Oryctolagus cuniculus: one gene and its partners. The protein of the gene in region 1 interacts with the protein of each later gene in a pairwise test. Links are inferred from orthologs where the notes say so. Each region holds a gene or a part of one and is shown on either strand. Other genes may lie near its edges. The genes, in order: WWP1, SMAD3, ATN1, ENTREP1 and CPSF6.

Evidence for each region.
Region 2: the proteins of WWP1 (region 1) and SMAD3 interact in binary tests that used the Homo sapiens proteins (3 or more experiments, as listed by UniProt). The two-hybrid records come from large-scale screens. The link is inferred for Oryctolagus cuniculus from reciprocal best matches to the Homo sapiens genes WWP1 and SMAD3.
Region 3: the proteins of WWP1 (region 1) and ATN1 interact in a two-hybrid assay, tested with the Homo sapiens proteins (2 studies listed by BioGRID and IntAct). The link is inferred for Oryctolagus cuniculus from reciprocal best matches to the Homo sapiens genes WWP1 and ATN1.
Region 4: the proteins of WWP1 (region 1) and ENTREP1 interact in binary tests that used the Homo sapiens proteins (3 or more experiments, as listed by UniProt). The link is inferred for Oryctolagus cuniculus from reciprocal best matches to the Homo sapiens genes WWP1 and ENTREP1.
Region 5: the proteins of WWP1 (region 1) and CPSF6 interact in binary tests that used the Homo sapiens proteins (3 or more experiments, as listed by UniProt). The link is inferred for Oryctolagus cuniculus from reciprocal best matches to the Homo sapiens genes WWP1 and CPSF6.

What each region holds. Positions count from the first base shown.
Region 1 is NC_091437.1:111,755,990-111,759,454, reverse strand, and holds the end of WWP1 (NEDD4-like E3 ubiquitin-protein ligase WWP1), read right to left. Parts: intron 2,082-3,465; coding exon 1,982-2,081; 3' UTR 504-1,981; downstream 1-503. UniProt on the Homo sapiens protein: E3 ubiquitin-protein ligase which accepts ubiquitin from an E2 ubiquitin-conjugating enzyme in the form of a thioester and then directly transfers the ubiquitin to targeted substrates.
Region 2 is NC_091443.1:89,858,189-89,862,190, reverse strand, and holds the start of SMAD3 (mothers against decapentaplegic homolog 3), read right to left. Parts: upstream 2,808-4,002; 5' UTR 2,252-2,807; coding exon 2,046-2,251; intron 1,675-2,045; exon of another isoform or gene 1,592-1,674; intron 1,532-1,591; exon of another isoform or gene 1,135-1,531; coding exon of another isoform or gene 1,127-1,134; intron 1-1,126. UniProt on the Homo sapiens protein: Receptor-regulated SMAD (R-SMAD) that is an intracellular signal transducer and transcriptional modulator activated by TGF-beta (transforming growth factor) and activin type 1 receptor kinases.
Region 3 is NC_091440.1:102,606,730-102,610,244, reverse strand, and holds part of ATN1 (atrophin-1), read left to right. Parts: coding exon 1-54; intron 55-181; coding exon 182-295; intron 296-997; coding exon 998-2,988; intron 2,989-3,162; coding exon 3,163-3,385; intron 3,386-3,515. UniProt on the Homo sapiens protein: Transcriptional corepressor. Recruits NR2E1 to repress transcription. Promotes vascular smooth cell (VSMC) migration and orientation. Corepressor of MTG8 transcriptional repression.
Region 4 is NC_091432.1:161,049,362-161,052,876, forward strand, and holds part of ENTREP1 (endosomal transmembrane epsin interactor 1), read right to left. Parts: intron 482-3,515; coding exon 352-481; intron 247-351; coding exon 168-246; intron 1-167. UniProt on the Homo sapiens protein: Functions as an activator of the E3 ubiquitin protein ligase ITCH in the ubiquitination of the CXCL12-activated CXCR4 receptor. Thereby, triggers CXCR4 endocytosis and desensitization, negatively regulating the CXCL12/CXCR4 signaling pathway.
Region 5 is NC_091442.1:71,574,051-71,577,565, reverse strand, and holds part of CPSF6 (cleavage and polyadenylation specificity factor subunit 6), read right to left. Parts: intron 3,380-3,515; coding exon 3,206-3,379; intron 3,077-3,205; coding exon 2,966-3,076; intron 2,518-2,965; coding exon 2,013-2,517; intron 1,838-2,012; coding exon 1,722-1,837; intron 960-1,721; coding exon 806-959; intron 1-805. UniProt on the Homo sapiens protein: Component of the cleavage factor Im (CFIm) complex that functions as an activator of the pre-mRNA 3'-end cleavage and polyadenylation processing required for the maturation of pre-mRNA into functional mRNAs.

The DNA of each region.
Region 1 (3,465 bases):
TGGTTCTTTCAGGACAGAACAGGGATGGGAAGAGATGAGAAAAGGTGGGGCCACATTTCTTCATTTTTTTCTACTGCAGAACAGACAAATCATGTACCTCTGGATGTCTATCATTGACTATGAAAGCTCTCCTGACTTCTCTTAACTAGTCTTCCCAAAAAACTGGTTTGGTCTCCCTGTAAGTTCGTGGTACAAGGTAGTTTCTTACTTGAAATGTTGAGGGGGGTAATTACCCAGAAAACCACGTAAATCTGATACTCTGGTATAGCTCCACTGAGTGGTGGTACTCGGGAACTTCTGTCACAGTGAATGCTCTACAGCGCTACGCCACCTGTGTGTCTAATGTCTAACTTTAGTGGTACAGTTTAAGCACTCCTTTTGAAGGTTAATCACTTTCTATTGTGTAACCTGTCATATACATTAGAATTCTTTTTAAAAATTCTGTAAGACTTGAAAATAACCAGAATGTCTGGAGTTAGGATTTGGGAAAGGAATCTATTCAATCAAGTGGATCACTGACTTTATTTTACCTTTACTGTGAATTTTGAATAAAATGCAGAACACAATCTAAATTATTATGTAGAAAAATAAAATTTTTGGAAAGCAAAAACTGTACGGAAGTTAACTGTATACTAGTATTTTCTGTATGCACTTAGCAGTGAATTATTTACAGGTAACACATTCCTAAGTCAGTTCAATGGTTATAAAAAAAAGTTTAAGTTAAAGAAGTTTACAGTGCATATTGAAAGCATGATACAAATGGAAATTGAAATTTTTGTATTAATTAAGAAGTCCAGTTTGCTAAAAGTAGCATTAATATCATTCACATCAGATTTTGTTATACATCTTTGTAGTTCAGCAAATGCCCTTATAATGAAAAACAAGTGTTATTTACTTAGAACAAAAATAATTGTAAAAGGGGGGAAAGAGGACCCAGAAGGTTTTTAATATGCTTGTTTAATTCAGATACATAGAATTTTCATGAATTTGAAAGGAATGAAGATATTCAAACAGTAATAGAAAATCCTTAGTCTTCTATTTGTGTTTCAAATGCTTGTGTAACTTTTCAATTCATCTGCTTTTATAAAACTGGAATTTTGAACACAAAAGTGGCAAAGTTCACATTACCTTTTATATGTTCCTATGTATCAAACTGCATCAATTTATTGTGAATAAAATTTGAAGGATGTCACAGATTTAAAAAGAAAAGTACAGAAGTGCCTGATTTTTTAATTCACAAATACCTAATATCCCAAAGTAACATGTAAACAAACCTCTAGTCTGCTGAATGAATTTTTACCAATCTCTATAATAAACTAAGTGGTATTGGATCTAATAGAACTTTCATGTAAGTATGGTCTCCATTCATACTTTCACTGTATTACTAATGTAGCAAAGAGGGAAAAATTTTCAACTATTCTATTTATTTAAAACAAACTGACAGGTTTAAGCACCTGTCTTCAGAAAAGCCAGCAGCATTTTTAAATATACTCAAAGTAAGATTTGGCTTAAGCCCTTAATACCTTCCTGAACAGCCATGCAGCTAAATGCCCTCAGGAGTTGTTACATGAAGAACATGGAGCAGTTTGCACTTTTTCCCCTGGATAATAAAGGTAAAGCAAATCCAGATCTTTGTGAAGAACAGCTGTGATGTTTAATACACTTGGAGCTCTATAAAACTAGAGCCACTATCATATATGCTTAATAGAGATATATACTTCTTATTTTTTAATAAAGTCTCTTGCTTGTTTCAAAATTTAAGGGTGATCTTTTTCCTGGTCAGTCATTTCAAGGGAACAATAAATAAAGTAGAAAAAGATGAATGGTTTTGCATATTTCTGTGGAAGAACGGAAAACATTTATACTTTTGAAAGGTTCAGAAAACTCCTGTACAGAATGAACAGCTTATATATACTATCTGTGCAATTTTCTTGGTTGGGGTATTTAAATGCAAGAGCTCCTCCAAAACAAGAAGCCACATTCATTCTTGTCCAAATCCCTCTGTTTCTTCTATTGCAAAAAGGAGTTTTTCCTTTAGTTGTTCATAACTCTTATATGGTGGTAGATCCAAGCGATTAAAACTGAACAAAAACAAAAACAAAATCAGATGTTTTCAATAAAATAAGCTATGAGACATTTCTAATACAGTATTTTTAAGCACATTATTACTATATATCAGCATTTCCAAGAGCAAGCTATTTAAGACCTATACATAAATAATATTTTAACATTTCCCATAGAAAATAAATTACAAATAGTAACTGAAGCACCAAAGAATTTTTTAAATCATTTTTCTGTAGTATTCCTGACTGCCACATGTATGTGCTCCCTACTCAATTCTCTTGGGTTAAGAGTACATTTCTTTCATTCACTCATTCATTCATCAGTTCAGTATTTACTGAGAATCTTTTCCATGCTGTATACTGTGCCAGAAGCTGATGAGATGGGGATGAAAAACTCAAAGCCTTGTCCTCGTGGACCTCAGGTTCTGGGGTGGAGACAGTGAACAAATACATACTTTTCTATGTCTCTTCAAATAATCTCCTCACCATATGTATAACATCTAAAATGACACCTTTTCAGTATTGTCAGACTTCTGGGACTAACTGACGAAAAATATAAAAATACTGAAAATGCTTAAAATCATAATGTATTGTTTTTCAATTTACAAAGTCAGAGTAACATTTAATTTCCTAGGATACAATACTGGTCAGCAGTATGATTCAATGTCTGTGTTTTGGTTCCCTCTCTGTGACCAGTGAAACAGCTTCTCAGGCTGGAACCTGTCTATACAGTAACTCGCTCATGTGGAGCTTTTCCTCTATGAATTATCCAGGTGACCTCCTACCACTCTACTGCTCATCTGCCCTTGCCTCGGCTCATGTAGGAGTCACGAAAGATGAAAATTAAAAGCTTTTTGAAACAAGGCAGCCAGTTAAAACAGTGCTGCTCTCAGAACATAAATATTGTTTGTATCTTAAAAAACGGTAAAGATATTATTGCCCTCCCCCTTTTTTTAAATTAATTTATTTTTTTTTTGACAGAGTAGACAGTAAGAGAGAGAGATAGAGAGGTCTTCCTTTTTCCGTTGGTTCATTCCCCAATGGCCACTGCGGCCAGCGCACCGTGCTGATCCGAAGCCAGGAGCCAGGTTCTTCTCCTGGTCTCCCATGTGGGTGAGGGCCCAAGGACCTGGGCCATCCTCCACTGCACTCCCGGGGCACAGCAGAGAGCTGGCCTGGAAGAGGAGCAACCGGGACAGAATCCGGCACCCGGACCGGATCTAGAACCCGGTGTGCCAGCGCCACAGGCGGAGGATTAGCCTATTGAGCCGCAGCGCCGGCCCCTCCCCTTTATTTTAAACTATGCTTCACTGTAGACACAATCTTAAGTCCAGATAATAGTAATTTTCTGTTCTTTTACATCTTTTATATATAACCTATGACAAATTGTTATCTTTCTACC
Region 2 (4,002 bases), on another chromosome or scaffold:
TCCCAGGACTCTTAAAGGCAGGCCCTTGTCCTGCCCCGCGCAAAGCAAACTCCTACCAAGAGACAGGCAAACAAGGCCTACAGGTGGAAGCCAACCTCCCACCGCCCACCCCAGCTGACACAGCTCCAGCCTTGGGCCGAGCCTTGGGCCGAGCGAGCCTCAGCCTTCCAAGTGCTCAGCAGCACAGGGCGGCAGAAGGCGCAGCCCCTGGATCAAGCCTGCCCACCTCCCTGCTCCAGTGTTCTCCGCTTGGAAAATGAGATCATCTCCAGCCCGGCTGCCTTATCTGTTTTCCAGGCATGGGTCTCTTTCTTCGAGGACCTCGTAAAACCACGTGAAAGTGCTTTGTAAACTGTAGAACACTTTGCACAGCTGCCTGTTTTATAACCCATCCCACCCCCACCCCACTGCCCATTTCCACGAATAAATTAAGCCTGTGTGTCCTCCACCCACCCAGGCAAACATGGAGCAGGAGAGAAGCACCCCCCCAAGACCCCCATTCTACCGGTGGGGCCCCCACCAAAGGGATAAAAAAGAATTAAAAACCAGAGGCGGGCCCAAAACCCAAGTTTCTCTGCCCATCCCATTACACCACCTCCTCTGAAGTCCACTCTGGCTCCCGACCCCCGGCCCACAGTGCCTTCCCCACAAAGCACACCGCCTCTCTTGACTGGATCCACCCATTTTAGGGGAAAGAAAAAAAAAAAGCACAACTCACTACTTCTTAAGTCAGCCCTGCCACCATGCCCAGCATTTATTTGCAGGGGAGGCCTGCCCTGCGTTCCTGCGGACAGATGTTGCTTTGTGCCTGCCTCACACAGCTGGCAGCCCTTGCACAGCTGCCCCAAGCAGGTGGCCAAGGACAGAGGAGTCCACCCGTGCCCAGAAGCGAGGCTGACAGTCCCTGCGGGGCCATTCCTCATTCCTCTGCAGCCCGGGACCCCCCAGGCTGCGGCGTCCCCACCACCCGCGCCCGCCCCACTTGGGTCAGAACCGGACTCCAAATAGGGCTGAGAAGCAGAGACGCAGGGCCAAGCCCTCCCCCCCCCCCCCCATCTTCCCACCCCGATCTCCAAGCAGGCGCGGCTGAGCGCTGGAAGGCCCCGGGGTGTCAGAAGTCACTGACCCTTCCATCAGCCATCTGTGAGCGCCCGCCAGCCTCGGCTCGCGCCGGGCAAGGATAAAGGCGGTCCCGACAGATGGCAAAGCGCTTTGAGAGTGAGGGCTCCACAGGAATGCGAAGGCGGACGCGAGGCCCACTCCGGGGCGGCTGTGTCTGCGCGGCTCCAGCCCCCCTCTCCGTTCTGCACCGATCTGCAGCGTCTCAGACCACAATGGAGGGCAAAGGTGCGGGCAGGGCGGCGGGCTCACGGAGAAGACCCCGTGGCCTTGCCACTCGCACCTCCCGTTTCGAAGAAGTCAGAGCCCTGCGCAGCAACTCCAGGGCGTGCGCGCACAGCGGGGCGGGAGGCTGGCACAACCCAGTCTAAAAATACTCGATACAAATGCTAATCCCAAAGGCAAAGAAAGAGCGAAGAAGGCATCTGTCCATCACGCGGCTAGGGCTCCGCACCCACCGCCCCAGCTGTACCGACTGCATTCCTGCAGAGGCGGAAAGACGCGAGGGGACCCGGCCGCCGCGGAGAATGGCAGCTACACCTCCGCGAGCGCGGGCCGCGGGGGCGGGAGGCGGCGGCGGCGGGGGAGGGGCTCCCGCCCGCGGAGCCGAACAAAGCGGGCCTCAACTTGGACTCGGTAGCTCCCCGGGCTGGGGGCGGCCGATCCCAGCAACACCACCACCACCACCAGCGCCCGCCCCCGCCCCAAACCCGCCGCACCCCCATCCCGGAGGTGGAAAGCGAAGGTGCGGTCTGGAAGCCAGAGTGCCGCGTGGAAGCCTCGCGCTCCCAGAAGGAGGTTTTGTTTGGGGTCTCCCTCCCCCACCCCCCGGCCAGGCTCCCGCTGCCCCGCGCACGCCCGCGGGTCCCGGCTCTCCACCCGCGCCGCGCCAAGGGGGCTGGGCCGGCGCAACCCCGGGCCCCCACCTGGGGATGGTGATGCACTTGGTGTTGACGTTCTGCGTGGTGATGGCCTTCTCCAGCTCGTCCAGCTGCCCCGTCTTCTTGAGCTTCTTAACCAGGCTCTTGACCGCCTTCTCACACCACTTCTCCTCCTGCCCGTTCTGCTCGCCCTTCTTCCAGCCCAGCAGGCGCTTCACGATCGGCGGGGTGAAGGGCAGGATGGACGACATGGCTGGGGAGGGCGCGCGGGCGGCGAGGGGGCGCCCCCGGCGGGGCTGGGCGCGGCGGGGCGCCGGGGGCGCAAGAAGGGAGCTCGGCTCGGGCCGGCCGCGGCCGCCCCAAACTTCGCCTCAACTCCGGGCGAACTTGCCCCGTGCGCAGGGCCGGGCCGCGGCGCTGCAGCCTGCGGGGCTCGGCGCGCGGCCCTGCGCGCGAGCGAACGGCTCCCACGGGGCGGAGAAGGGCGGCCGGCGGGCGAGCGGGCGGGCGGGCGGCGGCGCTGGGTCGGGAAGGCCCCGAGCGTGGGGCGGAGGCAGCGGCCGCGAGGCTCGGAGTGGCAGCACAAAGTTTGGGTTTCCGCACGGGGTAGCTGTTTGGGTGCCGCCTCCGGGAAGGAAAGTCCAGCCCCCAGCCAAACTTTGCTCGCCTCGCTCGCTTTGATGCGCAGATCCCTCCGCCTCTGCGGCCTCGCCTCCCCGCTTCCCTCCTCCTCCTCCTCCCGGCGCGCTCGTTCGCTCGCGGGGCCGGCCCGGGGCGTGCGCGGCGCTCCCGCTCCCGCCCGCTCCCAGTCTATGTTTCATGCAAATCCGCGTGCAGCCTCCCGGCCTAGCGCTGTCACCGCCCCCTCGCCGCCCGGGCTCCCCGCCTCCTCCCCCGGGCGCCCTGCCCGCCCCTGCTCCGCCGAGGCCGCCCGGCCTTCCCCCGCCCCGCGCCGAGCGCGCCCACGTGGGCGACCGGGGGCGGCGACGGGCCCGGCTGGAGCGCGCCGTACCCCGCGCGGCCGCGGCCCGCAGCCGAGCGTGCGCGGGGGAGGAAGTCCCGGGAAACGGGCGGGCGGAGGGGCCCCAGGCGGGGGCCCGAGCTCGGTTGGAGTCGCGGGCAGGACGGGGGCGAGGAGGCGCCGTCGGACCTTGAGCGGACTCCGACTCGAGGCCGAGGGGGTCGGGGCGCGCACTTAGTCTCGTGTGTGCCGATCCTGGGCAGGGGTCTTGGCAGGCGCCCGCGACCCAGGGGCTTGTGAGGTCACACCGAGACTGCGGAGCGGGAGCTGAGAGAGGGGACACTGGGCCCTGGGAAATGGCGTTTGCGAGGACTCGGGTGACAGCGCGCACAATAGCTGAGGGGGGGGGTTCCCTTGAGCCTTGTGAACCAAGTACTTGGCAGCAAAAGGGCCTCAAAAGACATCTGTTGAGTTCGTGAAGGAATGAACGGGGGCGCGTTAGAATGTGTCTCTGGGTGAAAGTCACATTACCGGGTGTTGCACACTCAGAGACAGCTAGATCCGAAATCTGAAACCCCCGCACTAAAGTGCTGAGTTCTCCGGGAGCTGAGGCACTCAGCGCCCCCCCACACACACACACACCGGGGGAGGGGGCGGGCTCCTAGCTTTCCTCCCCACCCGCAGAATCCAGGAGCCCTTCCTCGGGGCTGTCTGGAGTTACCCCAGCGCCTGCCTTTGCAGGGGCCTCCCCTGTGAGGCCACCCTGGTGGGTAAGGCCTTTGTTTGTTTTTAACAGCAGGAAACCCCCAGTGGTGAGAAAGAAGTTATCTGCAAACCCTCAAGTGGTGGGAAGTTACAAAGCCCTGTGAGGTGTGGCCGAATCCACAAAGTCAGCCCAGAAGCTGCAGGGGCCCTGGCCTAGCCCGCCCCGTAGCCTCCGCACAGCCAGGTGCTCCTCGCCCTCCTCTCCTGCTATAGCTCCCTCCCTGCTAAAACCTGGAAGGAGAATCCCTGAACCCAACGCCAGCCTGGGCTTACAAG
Region 3 (3,515 bases), on another chromosome or scaffold:
GTCAGCACGTCCAGCAGTGACGGCAAAGCCGAGAAGTCCAGGCAGACAGCCAAGGTATCTGTGCTCAGGTCCTCCCGCAGCATGCTGGGGGCGGGTGTTGTGGGGGACTTCCTGTCTGGCAGAGCAGGCCCAGTGGAGGCTTGGGAGGCGGAAGACAGAGTTTTCTCTTTCCCTCTCACAGAAGGCCCGAGTAGAGGAAGCCTCCACCCCAAAGGTCAACAAGCAGGGCCGGAGTGAAGAGATCTCAGAGAGTGAAAGTGAGGAGACCAATGCACCAAAAAAGACCAAAACTGAGGTGGGGGACCCTTCTGACCTCTGGCCTGCTTTCTGACCATTCTTCTTCTTCTTCTTTTTTTTTTTTTTTTTTTAAGATTTATTTATTTGAAAGACAGGATTACAGAGAGACGAGAGAGCTTCCACAGGTGCTGGTGTTGCAGGTGGCAGCTTAACCCGTTCCACTGGCCCCTGTTTTGTGACCATTCTTTTCCTCAAGTTTCTTTAGCTCACCATTCCTACCTTAAAGCCTCCTGGGAAATAAGAACAGCCATCTCTTCGTGCCTACCAGCGTGGTCCTGTGAGCTGTCAGGCAGATGTAGGGCTTTGACTGCTAGAGGAGCAGGCAGGGCCTCTGGGGGACTGTAGCCTCTGAGTGAGAGGAACACGTAAGCCAAGGGAAACACAGAAGTGGTCCTGTAAGAAGCACCAAGGGTCTGGGGATGATGACAGGAGAGGAGGGTGGGTGTGAGATGGTGTAGGACAGGGATTCCGAGTCAGTCGTGGGTGGGGAGGGTGCGTGGGGTAGACACTGGAAGAGGGAGTCGGGTTGTACAAGGAGGGAAACAGGTGGCCTGTTAGGGGCGCCTGAGGATGCCAGGAGAGTGAGGATTCTCCTTTGACCAGGAACACTCTTCACAAGTCGGTGCGTCATGTGCTGTGAGAGGCCCCGCTGTTGGGAGACAGGAACTGAAAAAAGAGGCAAAAATGGCTTTCCCTACAGCAGGAGCTCCCGCGGCCACAGTCTCCCTCGGATCTGGACAGCCTGGACGGGCGGAGCCTCAATGACGACGGCAGCAGTGACCCTCGGGATATCGACCAGGACAACCGAAGCACGTCCCCCAGCATCTACAGCCCTGGCAGTGTGGAGAATGACTCCGACTCGTCTTCTGGCCTGTCCCAGGGGCCAGCACGCCCCTACCACCCGCCTCCACTCTTTCCTCCTTCCCCTGCACCACCAGACAGCACCCCCCGGCAGCCAGAGCCTGGCTTTGAACCCCATCCTGTGACACCCACTGGATACCATGCTCCCATGGAGCCCCCCACATCTCGAATGTTCCAGGCTCCTCCTGGGGCTCCTCCCCCTCACCCACAGCTCTACTCTGGGGGTGCTGCTGGAGGGGTTTTGTCCGGACCTCCAATGGGTCCCAAAGGGGGAGGGACTGCCTCTTCAGTTGGAGCCCCTGGTGGGGGAAAGCAGCACCCTCCACCCACTACCCCCATTTCAATATCAAGCTCTGGGGCCAGTGGTGCTCCCCCAACAAAGCCACCTACCACTCCCTTGGGTAGTGGGAATCTGCCCGCTGCTCCACCACCCGCCACTTTCCCCCACGTGACACCAAACCTGCCTCCCCCACCTGCCCTGCGGCCTCTCAACAATGCATCAGCTTCTCCTCCTGGCCTGGGGGCCCAGCCGCTACCTGGGCATCTGCCCTCCCCCCACGCCATGGGCCAGAATATGGGTGGACTTCCTCCTGGCCCAGAGAAGGGCCCGGCCCTGGCGCCCTCGCCCCACCCTCTGCCCCCTGCATCCTCCTCCTCCGCCCCAGCCCCCCCAATGAGGTACTCTTACTCATCCTCTTCCAGCAGCTCTGTGGCAGTCTCCTCCAGTTCCAACTCTGCCCCCCAGTACCCAGCCTCCCAGGCACTGCCCAGTTATCCCCACTCCTTCCCCCCTCCCACAAGCCTCTCTGTTTCCAATCAGCCACCCAAGTACACTCAGCCTTCTCTCCCATCCCAGGCCGTGTGGAGCCAGGGACCTCCTCCCCCTCCCCCATATGGCCGCCTTTTAGCCAACAGCAATGCCCATCCTGGCCCCTTCGCGCCTTCCTCTGGGGGCCAGTCCACTGCCCACCCACCAGCCCCAGCCCATCACCACCACCACCAGCAGCAGCAGCAGCAGCAGCAGCAGCAGCAGCAGCAGCAACAACATCACCACGGCAGCTCCGGGCCGCCTCCCCCGGGCGCATACCCCCATCCTCTGGAGAGCAGCAGCTCCCACCACGCCCACCCTTACACCATGTCTCCCTCTCTGGGTTCTCTGAGGCCCTATCCCCCAGGGCCGGCACACCTGCCCCCACCCCACAACCAGGTGTCCTACAGCCAAGCAGGCCCCAACGGCCCCCCAGCCTCTTCCTCTTCCAACTCCTCTTCCTCTTCTCAAGGTTCCTACCCCTGTTCACATCCATCCCCTTCACAGGGGCCCCAGGGCGCGCCCTACCCCTTCCCACCGGGGCCCCCGGTCACCACCTCTGCTACCCTCTCCACGGTGATCGCCACCGTGGCCTCCTCGCCAGCAGGCTACAAAACGGCCTCCCCGCCTGGGCCGCCACCGTACGGAAAGAGAGCCCCGTCCCCAGGGGCCTACAAGACGGCCACCCCGCCCGGATACAAGCCGGGGTCGCCGCCCTCCTTCCGAACAGGGACCCCTCCGGGCTACCGAGGCGCCTCACCGCCTGCCGGCCCGGGGACCTTCAAGCCAGGCTCACCTACGGTGGGGCCCGGGCCCCTGCCACCTGCGGGGCCCTCAAACCTGTCATCTCTGCCGCCGCCACCTGCGGCCCCTAACTCAGGGCCCACCCTGAACGCCGCGCAAATCAAACAGGAGCCGGCGGAGGAGTATGAGTCCCCCGAGAGCCCGGCGCCCCCGGCCCGCAGCCCCTCGCCCCCTCCCAAGGTGGTAGACATGCCCAGCCATGCCAGTCAGTCTGCCAGGTGAGCGGGCGTCCGGGGCGGGGTGCAGGTGGGGTTGGGATGGGGGACAGAGCAGGGAGACGTGGTAGGGGCCTGGCGGTCTCGCGGTGCTCTGTAAAAGGACACCGTAAACGGCCCTTGAGGGCAGCAGCTCGCTCGCGCGGGCTCAGCTGCGCTACCTCCCGCGCCTGGCAGGTTCAACAAACACCTGGACCGCGGCTTCAACTCGTGCGCGCGCAGCGACTTATACTTCGTGCCGCTGGAGGGCTCCAAGCTGGCCAAGAAGCGGGCCGACCTGGTGGAGAAGGTGCGGCGCGAGGCCGAGCAGCGCGCGCGCGAAGAAAAGGAGCGAGAGCGGGAGCGTGAGCGTGAGAAAGAGCGCGAGCGCGAGAAGGAGCGCGAGCTCGAGCGCAGCGTGGTGAGTGCGTCACGAGGTGCGCCGCCCGCCCCCTATCCCTCCCTCCTGGTCACTGCGCAGCGGGTCTGGGAGGCTGGGGGAGTTACCGCCACCTGTCGGAGAGGAGGAGCCACTACAGTCCAGGAAGTGA
Region 4 (3,515 bases), on another chromosome or scaffold:
ATATGGGTGGGATGCCAACATCGCAGGGGGCAACTTAACCTGCTATGCCACAACGCCAGCCTTACTCCAAGAATTTCCGACCTCTAAGAAAATAGCAAACTGGTTATTATTTTGCTGTGCTTTAATCTACTGGATCATGACGTGGGACAGTGATGACGCGGGATTACCTTGAGTCACTTGGGCACAGACCACTTCCAGCGGGCTTGTAGCAGTCTCTGTCCCTTCTGGAATCCGGAATGCGGGTCCCTGAACAGCGGGACAGAAGAAGGTTACTGTGCTGCCGTCAGCTTACCCGCAGCAGAGCCCCGTGAGGCCCCCGGGGTGCTGCGTGAGGGCTGCGCAGCGCCGTACCTGCTCCCGGTCCATCTGGCTCACCACCGCTTCGTATGGGGGCGGCGGGTCCAGGGGACAGAACACCTCCACGCCTTTGATTCGTGCTCCATAGATGTGCGGCACGGGGATGATGTCAGAGGCGGCCATCCTAGGAACAGCATGGCGCCGCCGTGAGGAAGCCCACTGTGCGGGCGGCCATCGGCCCCTTAGGACGAGGGGCGCTCCCCGGTCCCCACCTCAGCCACCTGGTCCGCCCCACCCCTCCCTCCGCCTCCACAAACGCCAATCCACGGGACAGAAAAGGGACCAGGGGCTCCCTGGGGCTTGGGGAGGGCAGGAAGGGGCGTGACTGCCACTGGGTAGGGGTCTCCTTGGAAGTGAGGAAACGAATGAGATGGAGGTGTTGGAGGCATGGTGCTGCCACTGAATTCCACACTGCAAAGGGGTTAATTTCCTATTACGTGAATTGCTCAACACCGAGGACAGCTTCTTACAGTAGTACCTGAGCAGTTTCTCGTCCCTTACACGGCAGACTCACCGTTTGCCAAAGAAATACCTGAAAGGTGAGTTAACATAAAGCAAGAAGTGAACCACGTCCCAGCTCGGAGCCGGGGCGGGGACAGCAGGCGCAGCCACGGAGCTCCCCCAGGAGCTGCCCGCCAGGCCCGCCCCGTGGACAGGGGGCGCTCTCACCCACAGGGCTGCGGGCAGGGGCAAGCCAGGGGCTGCGGTGGGAAGCACAGGTCTGTACTCTGCTGGCTCCTGAACCCAGCCCAGGTGGCCAATAGGCTGGCACTCATTTGTAACAGGAACCCCACCACCACCAACAGAGGGAGAAGCACACCCAAGAGTGGAATGAACAAGGGGAAGAGGTCTCACAGCTGAAACAAACTATGTGGGTGCAGAGAAGCTGAACCTCAGGGAGAAGCCCACTCCATACCCTGCTACCTTAACCAGAACCGCAGCCGCTGTTCTCTAGGGTCAGTGAGTTTCTCCCCACAGCCTCCTCCTCCCCTCTTCTCTCTCATCCCCTCTCCTTCTCCCATTCTGGGCCTGGGAATACATGAGGATTCTTTATCGCTCACTGTTTACATTTGCTATATTTACCAATTCTTCATCATCTACAAATTACTGACGTTTAGACTTCCAAACTGCCTCCACCACGACCCCTGACTGCTTCTTAGATAATTTTCTGGGGGAAAGGGTTGTTTTTTGAGGGAGTTTTTTGTTTGTTTGTTGTCCTATGTGTGACAGACCCTCAAGCAAATTTTTTTTTAAATCTGGAAGATTTCCTGCCAATGTTCATGGATAATTCCACAAAATAAGAAACTAGATAATGAAAAACATGAAATTTAAAATAATTACTGCAAAAAAATACACACAAAAATCCAGAAAACCTTCATTCTGGCTATGGAGCATTAGAGAATGAAAAAAAAAATAAGATAATAGCAAAAGTATAACATCTGTTCTTGAGATACAAAAAAGGGAAAAACTCAAAGAGCCTGATAAAAAGCCGGATTCTGGGGGTCAGATGCATGCAGGTGACTGAATTTATGATCACTTCATTTCCTTCTTTGTGCTCATTTGAAGTCTGATGGGTGGAGGCAAAAAGTTGAAAAAGTTGTGATGGTCTTTCTTCCTAACAACAAAGTTCTGGAATTCTGGGATTTAAAAAAAATGAGACTTGTGCAGTCTGAAGGAAAACGCAGGAAAGCTCTGCCCCCTTTTCCTGTACGTTCCTCTGGTCATGAACCACACACATTCCCTGCCTGACCCGAAAGGGAAGGGAGAAGGTTCTGGGTCAACAACATACACCTAGCAAGTGCAGCCTCCCATCCAAGGAGAAGTGGCAGTCATGGGGCGGGGCTCCTGGCAAGAACAGCCTGAAAGACATCTGTTCCTCTACCTTGGTCCATCTTCTGTTGCTTTAGCAGAATGCCTGGGACCAAGGGATCTACGAAGAAGTGAAGGTGATTTGGGCTCACAGTTCTGGAGGCTGGCAGTTCAAGGGCATCATGGTGGCATCTGGCAAGAGTGACAATGGCTGCAGAGTGAGGGGCCACATGTGGAGGACACAGCACCAGGGGCAGTGTCACACTGTAACAATGCGCTCTCCAGGGGACCTGATCGAGGCCTGCCAGATGAACCCAGCCCCAAAAGAAAGGCAGGGGCCCCTCCCAATGACCCACACACCCCAGAGGCCCCACCTCCACACAGCACCACCAGAGCACACAGGCTGCAACATGAGTTTAGAAGGGACAAACCCCATCAAACCACAGCAACTCTGAGAGCAGGACTTGCCCATGGGTTTCCTCCAACCAAGGCCATGAGCGATTCCAAGAAGCCACTCTTCTGGCCCTAACTGGAGACTGCTCACCAATGACTGACAAAGTTTGTTTCAACCAAAGCGACCTAGGGGCTCCTTCTGTCCCCTCCAAAGGGCCCGGCTGCAGCCTTTAATTAGCATAACCCCCATGAACCAGCCTTCCAAAACTTAACAAGCCTCAGCAAACAACACAGGCATTGCTTCCCCGCTGTGGGCCTTAGCTAGAGAGTGAAACCCCCAGCGCTGCCTGCCTGACTGTGGGATAACCCTGCCAGCTTACACCCGAGCTGGGGTGACCTGGGCCTTGCTGAAGGCCACAGGCTTGGAAGAACAGGTCCCATGTCAGATCCTAAACCATCGCAGAATCTCTTCCAGGGGAAACGGGGTGCTTTTTCCAACCTGGCTGCAGAAGGAATGACGTCACAGTGGCCATCCCCAGGACCAGAAGAGCCTCACTGTGAGCAAGGCTGCTTCAGCATCAACCAAGGAGAGTCTTTCCCATTAAGCAACTTCTCATTTTACTGGTGAGTTGCTGGCTTTTGCTCTGATCCCCTGTCACTCCCAACCCTAGCCATGGAGTCCAACCCCTCTGGGAGGTTCTAATCCCAAGATTGGCCTGGGCCTCCCCTCTAGGAACCATCTCTCACTGCCTGTGGTGGGGCCCAGGTCTCAGTGTGGTCAGTGTTCTACAAAAGGCAATGGGCCACGGGGCCGGTGCCATGGCTCACTAGGTTAATCCTCCACCTGTGGCACTGGCACCCCATATGAGCACCAGGTTCTAGTCCCAGTTGCTCCTCTTTCAGTCCAGCTCTCTGCTGTGGCCTGGGAGTGCAGTGGAGGATGGCCCAAGTGCTTG
Region 5 (3,515 bases), on another chromosome or scaffold:
TTAATATGCTGTTAGTTCTGACCAACTGGTTCAGATAAAAAGATAAGCTAAGTCAAAAGGCAGTAATTATAAAGTTGGAACTGCCAAAGACAAACTCCTTTCCCTTAATAATAAAGATGACTCTACTACCAGATAACATACTAAAGGGAGATTATGTGAGGATTAAAAAGACACCTTTCCAGGGCAGTTGGCAGGAATTCTGAAAGCAAGGAACTACATTCATTCATTCATTCACTCACTCACTCACTCAGCACCACACTGTACCAGGCAAAGTTTAAGCATTAGAAATACAGAACTGTAGCAGGTAGGTTAGATCAAATCCCTGCTATCATTCAGTATGTTCTAATGAGATGAAATACAAGTAACAAATAAGAATAGGTTACGGCAAGTAAGAGAAGGATATGACAGACTAACCTGGGAGAAGACCCTCTTAAGAAGTTAGACTGAGACAAGGAGAAGGATAAGGAGCCAGGGAATGTGAAGAGCCAGGGAAAAGGGTTCCCAGGAGAAGGAATACCAAGTACAAAATCAGTAAGATGGTCAAATGCTTCATGTGCCCAGAGGAAAAGACAGATCAATATGGCTAGAGTGAGTATGGGGAGAAGTACAAGAAGTAAGCCTAAGTGGAAGCCTTTGACGGGTTTTAAGCAAACACCTAACATCTGACTTAAGAGTTTAAAAAAATCATTCCAGCTGCTAAGTAAACAGTAAGTACATCAAACTTTTGTTTTAAAGTCCCAAACACAGTATTTTTTCCTTTTGTAAACTAGCAGGTTTCAACAGACAGGAGACAGGAAAGTTTTACCTTGATCCAGAACCATAGGACTTGGACTCAATTCCATGAAGGCAATCTTGCAAAGAACTAATAAGAACTTTGCAACGATCATCGGCAGATACTTTGGATTGTTTAATTAAAGAAATTGCAGTTACCAAAGTCTCAATAGCACTCCCATAATCACCTGTAGAGGAAAAGAAAGGCATTGAAGTCAAGCAAATTTTGGGGAGGGCTGGTGTGGCTCAGCAAGTTAAGCCACTACTAGGAGTACCCACATCCACATTAGAATGCAAGTTAATGTCTCAGAGGCTCCACTGTTAATCCAGCTTCCTACTAATGTGCTTGGGAACGTAATAGTTGCTTGGATCCCTGCTACCCACATAGGAGAACCCAGTGGAGTTCTGGCCCCCTGGCTTCAGCCTAGTCCAACACTGGCTGTTGCAGGCACTTGAGTATTCTGGTTTTCAACCAAATGAATAAATAAACCTTAAAAACAGTAACTTTTGTTGGGAAACACTGCCAAGCCACGTAGGGATAAGAGTGGCAAAGTATTTTACTCAAGTAGTGCACCTCAAAACAATCACAGAAAACAGTGTCTTTTTGGTTTCAAAACTTGCAAAAGCTAAAATTGATCAAATTAACAAAATCTGGTATCACCGAAGCTGTGTCAAACAGTTTATCATTTTGTAAACAGGAGACTGAATAAGCTGTCTGAAGGTCTCTGAAACCATTAAATGTCAAGGCCAATACTTAAATCAACACTTGATAACTTACAATTGTGGGGTCTTTCTGCTATACTGTGAGTACTGCTTTCTCCAATACTTTATAACAATTTGAGAATACAAAAAGAACTATTAAACGTAAATGACATATCTTTCGGACTGCTTTTAAGTTTAGATCATTTCACATAAGTAAAAATTATGAATATAGGAAAAAATATACAAACCAGCACTGGCATCAGACACAGCTCTTGAAATAGCACTGCTTGAGATTGCCCTGTTCCTATTCATGATTTCTTCAAATTCAGCTTCACTCAATGGTGTTCTTGCAGTATCCATTTCCCTTTAAAACAGAAAGAAACTTTAAGTCAAACCCAACAGATTTTCTAAGTTAGACTTAACAGTGTAAAGCACTTTACACTAGCTGTTTTTGATGTTAGCTACATTTCCATGTTATTTTCCTACAAAACAACCATCTTTTACCAATGAAACACTCTGATTGCTGCAAATTAACGTACCTTCCTGGAGGGCCATAGTCACCCCTATCATATGGTGGCGGTCGGCCATATGGGTCTGTAGGTGGTGGACCTCGGCTATCGGATGTAGGCATGCCACTGTTAGTTGGCGGAGGAAAGAAAGCCGGGTTCACATGTGGAGCTGGCGGCGGGGCACCTGGTGGTGGTCCCGGAAGATGCGGAGGAGGAGCGAGTGTAAGGGGTGGCCCAAGTGGACCAGGTGGGCGAGGTGGAAAAGGGCCTGGTGGTGGAGGTGGTCCCTGTTGTGGAGGTGGTGGACCAGGAGGGGGGCCGTAGCCTGGAACTGGAGGTGGAGGGCCAGGAGGAAGTGGACCCAGTGGAGGCTGCCCAAAAGGTTGTCCAGGAAAGAGAACTGGTGGTGGAGGGCGATCTCCTCGATTAGGAGGCCCAGCTAGAGGAGGTGGCAGAACCTGACCAGGAGGTGGAGGACCTGGTGGGCCAGGTGGGCCTGGAGGACCCAAGGGTGGACGTGGCGGAGTCTGTCCAGCTATAGAATAAACGAGAGAGAGAGAGAGAGAAAATATTTTAATAACAAAGATACTTTTAACATTTATATGCCAAGATTATTATACTTTTAAAGCATAACTCACAGACCAAAATTCTCTTTATACAAAACCCATAAGGTAAATGCTACGCTAACAACTACAAAGGTGAAGGATATCCTTACAAATTTAACTAGCTCAATTTATGCTTAGCAAAAATTATTGAAACAAAAACTTTACTAAAAAAGATTACAGTGCTTAGAAATATTTTCCATCTTTCAGTGTACACACACTTCTTACAGTGAAATCACCCACCTTATATTCTACTCTGATGCCAAGCTAGAAAGTGAAACGAGGAAAAATGGTCTTGAAAGGATTTTTAAGAGGTAAGAAAATAAGACTGATGTAAATATTCTATATATAAGTCAAGCAAGTTTGGAGAAAAATAAAGACCTTTTAGGCCAAAAATGGGTATTTCCTCTATGCTGTGCCCCATATGCCATGGAATCCTAGTTTCCAGGAACAAAGGCCGAGTTCCTTTAACAAGATGCTTGATCAAATTTCCTGGATTCCAAAAATAGCATAACAAGGAGAGTAAGTCACATTAATAATGCATTACTTGAAAAAGAGAGAAAAGGAAAAGAGGTATTAGGTAGACATGTTTTATCCATGGTAATTTAAGTAAAATTTTACCTGGAAAAGGAGGGGGTGGCCCTCCTGGTCCTGCTGGCCCAGGAAATCTGTCCCCACCGGGAACAGCCCCTGGAAAACGGCCCCGTCCTCTACCACCTTGTGGAAATGCTGCACGTGAACTGCCTCCTGGAGGACCAGCTTTACCTTCCCCAGACATTTGTCCTGATTGTGTAGCTGCAAATATCCAAATACTCATAAATAGCACTTATTAGAACAGCTTTTTGAAATGTAACCACTGCTACTAGAAACAATTCTACCTCAAAGTCCATTTACGCTATATATTAACTTTCAGATGCCTTGGGCCTGTGCA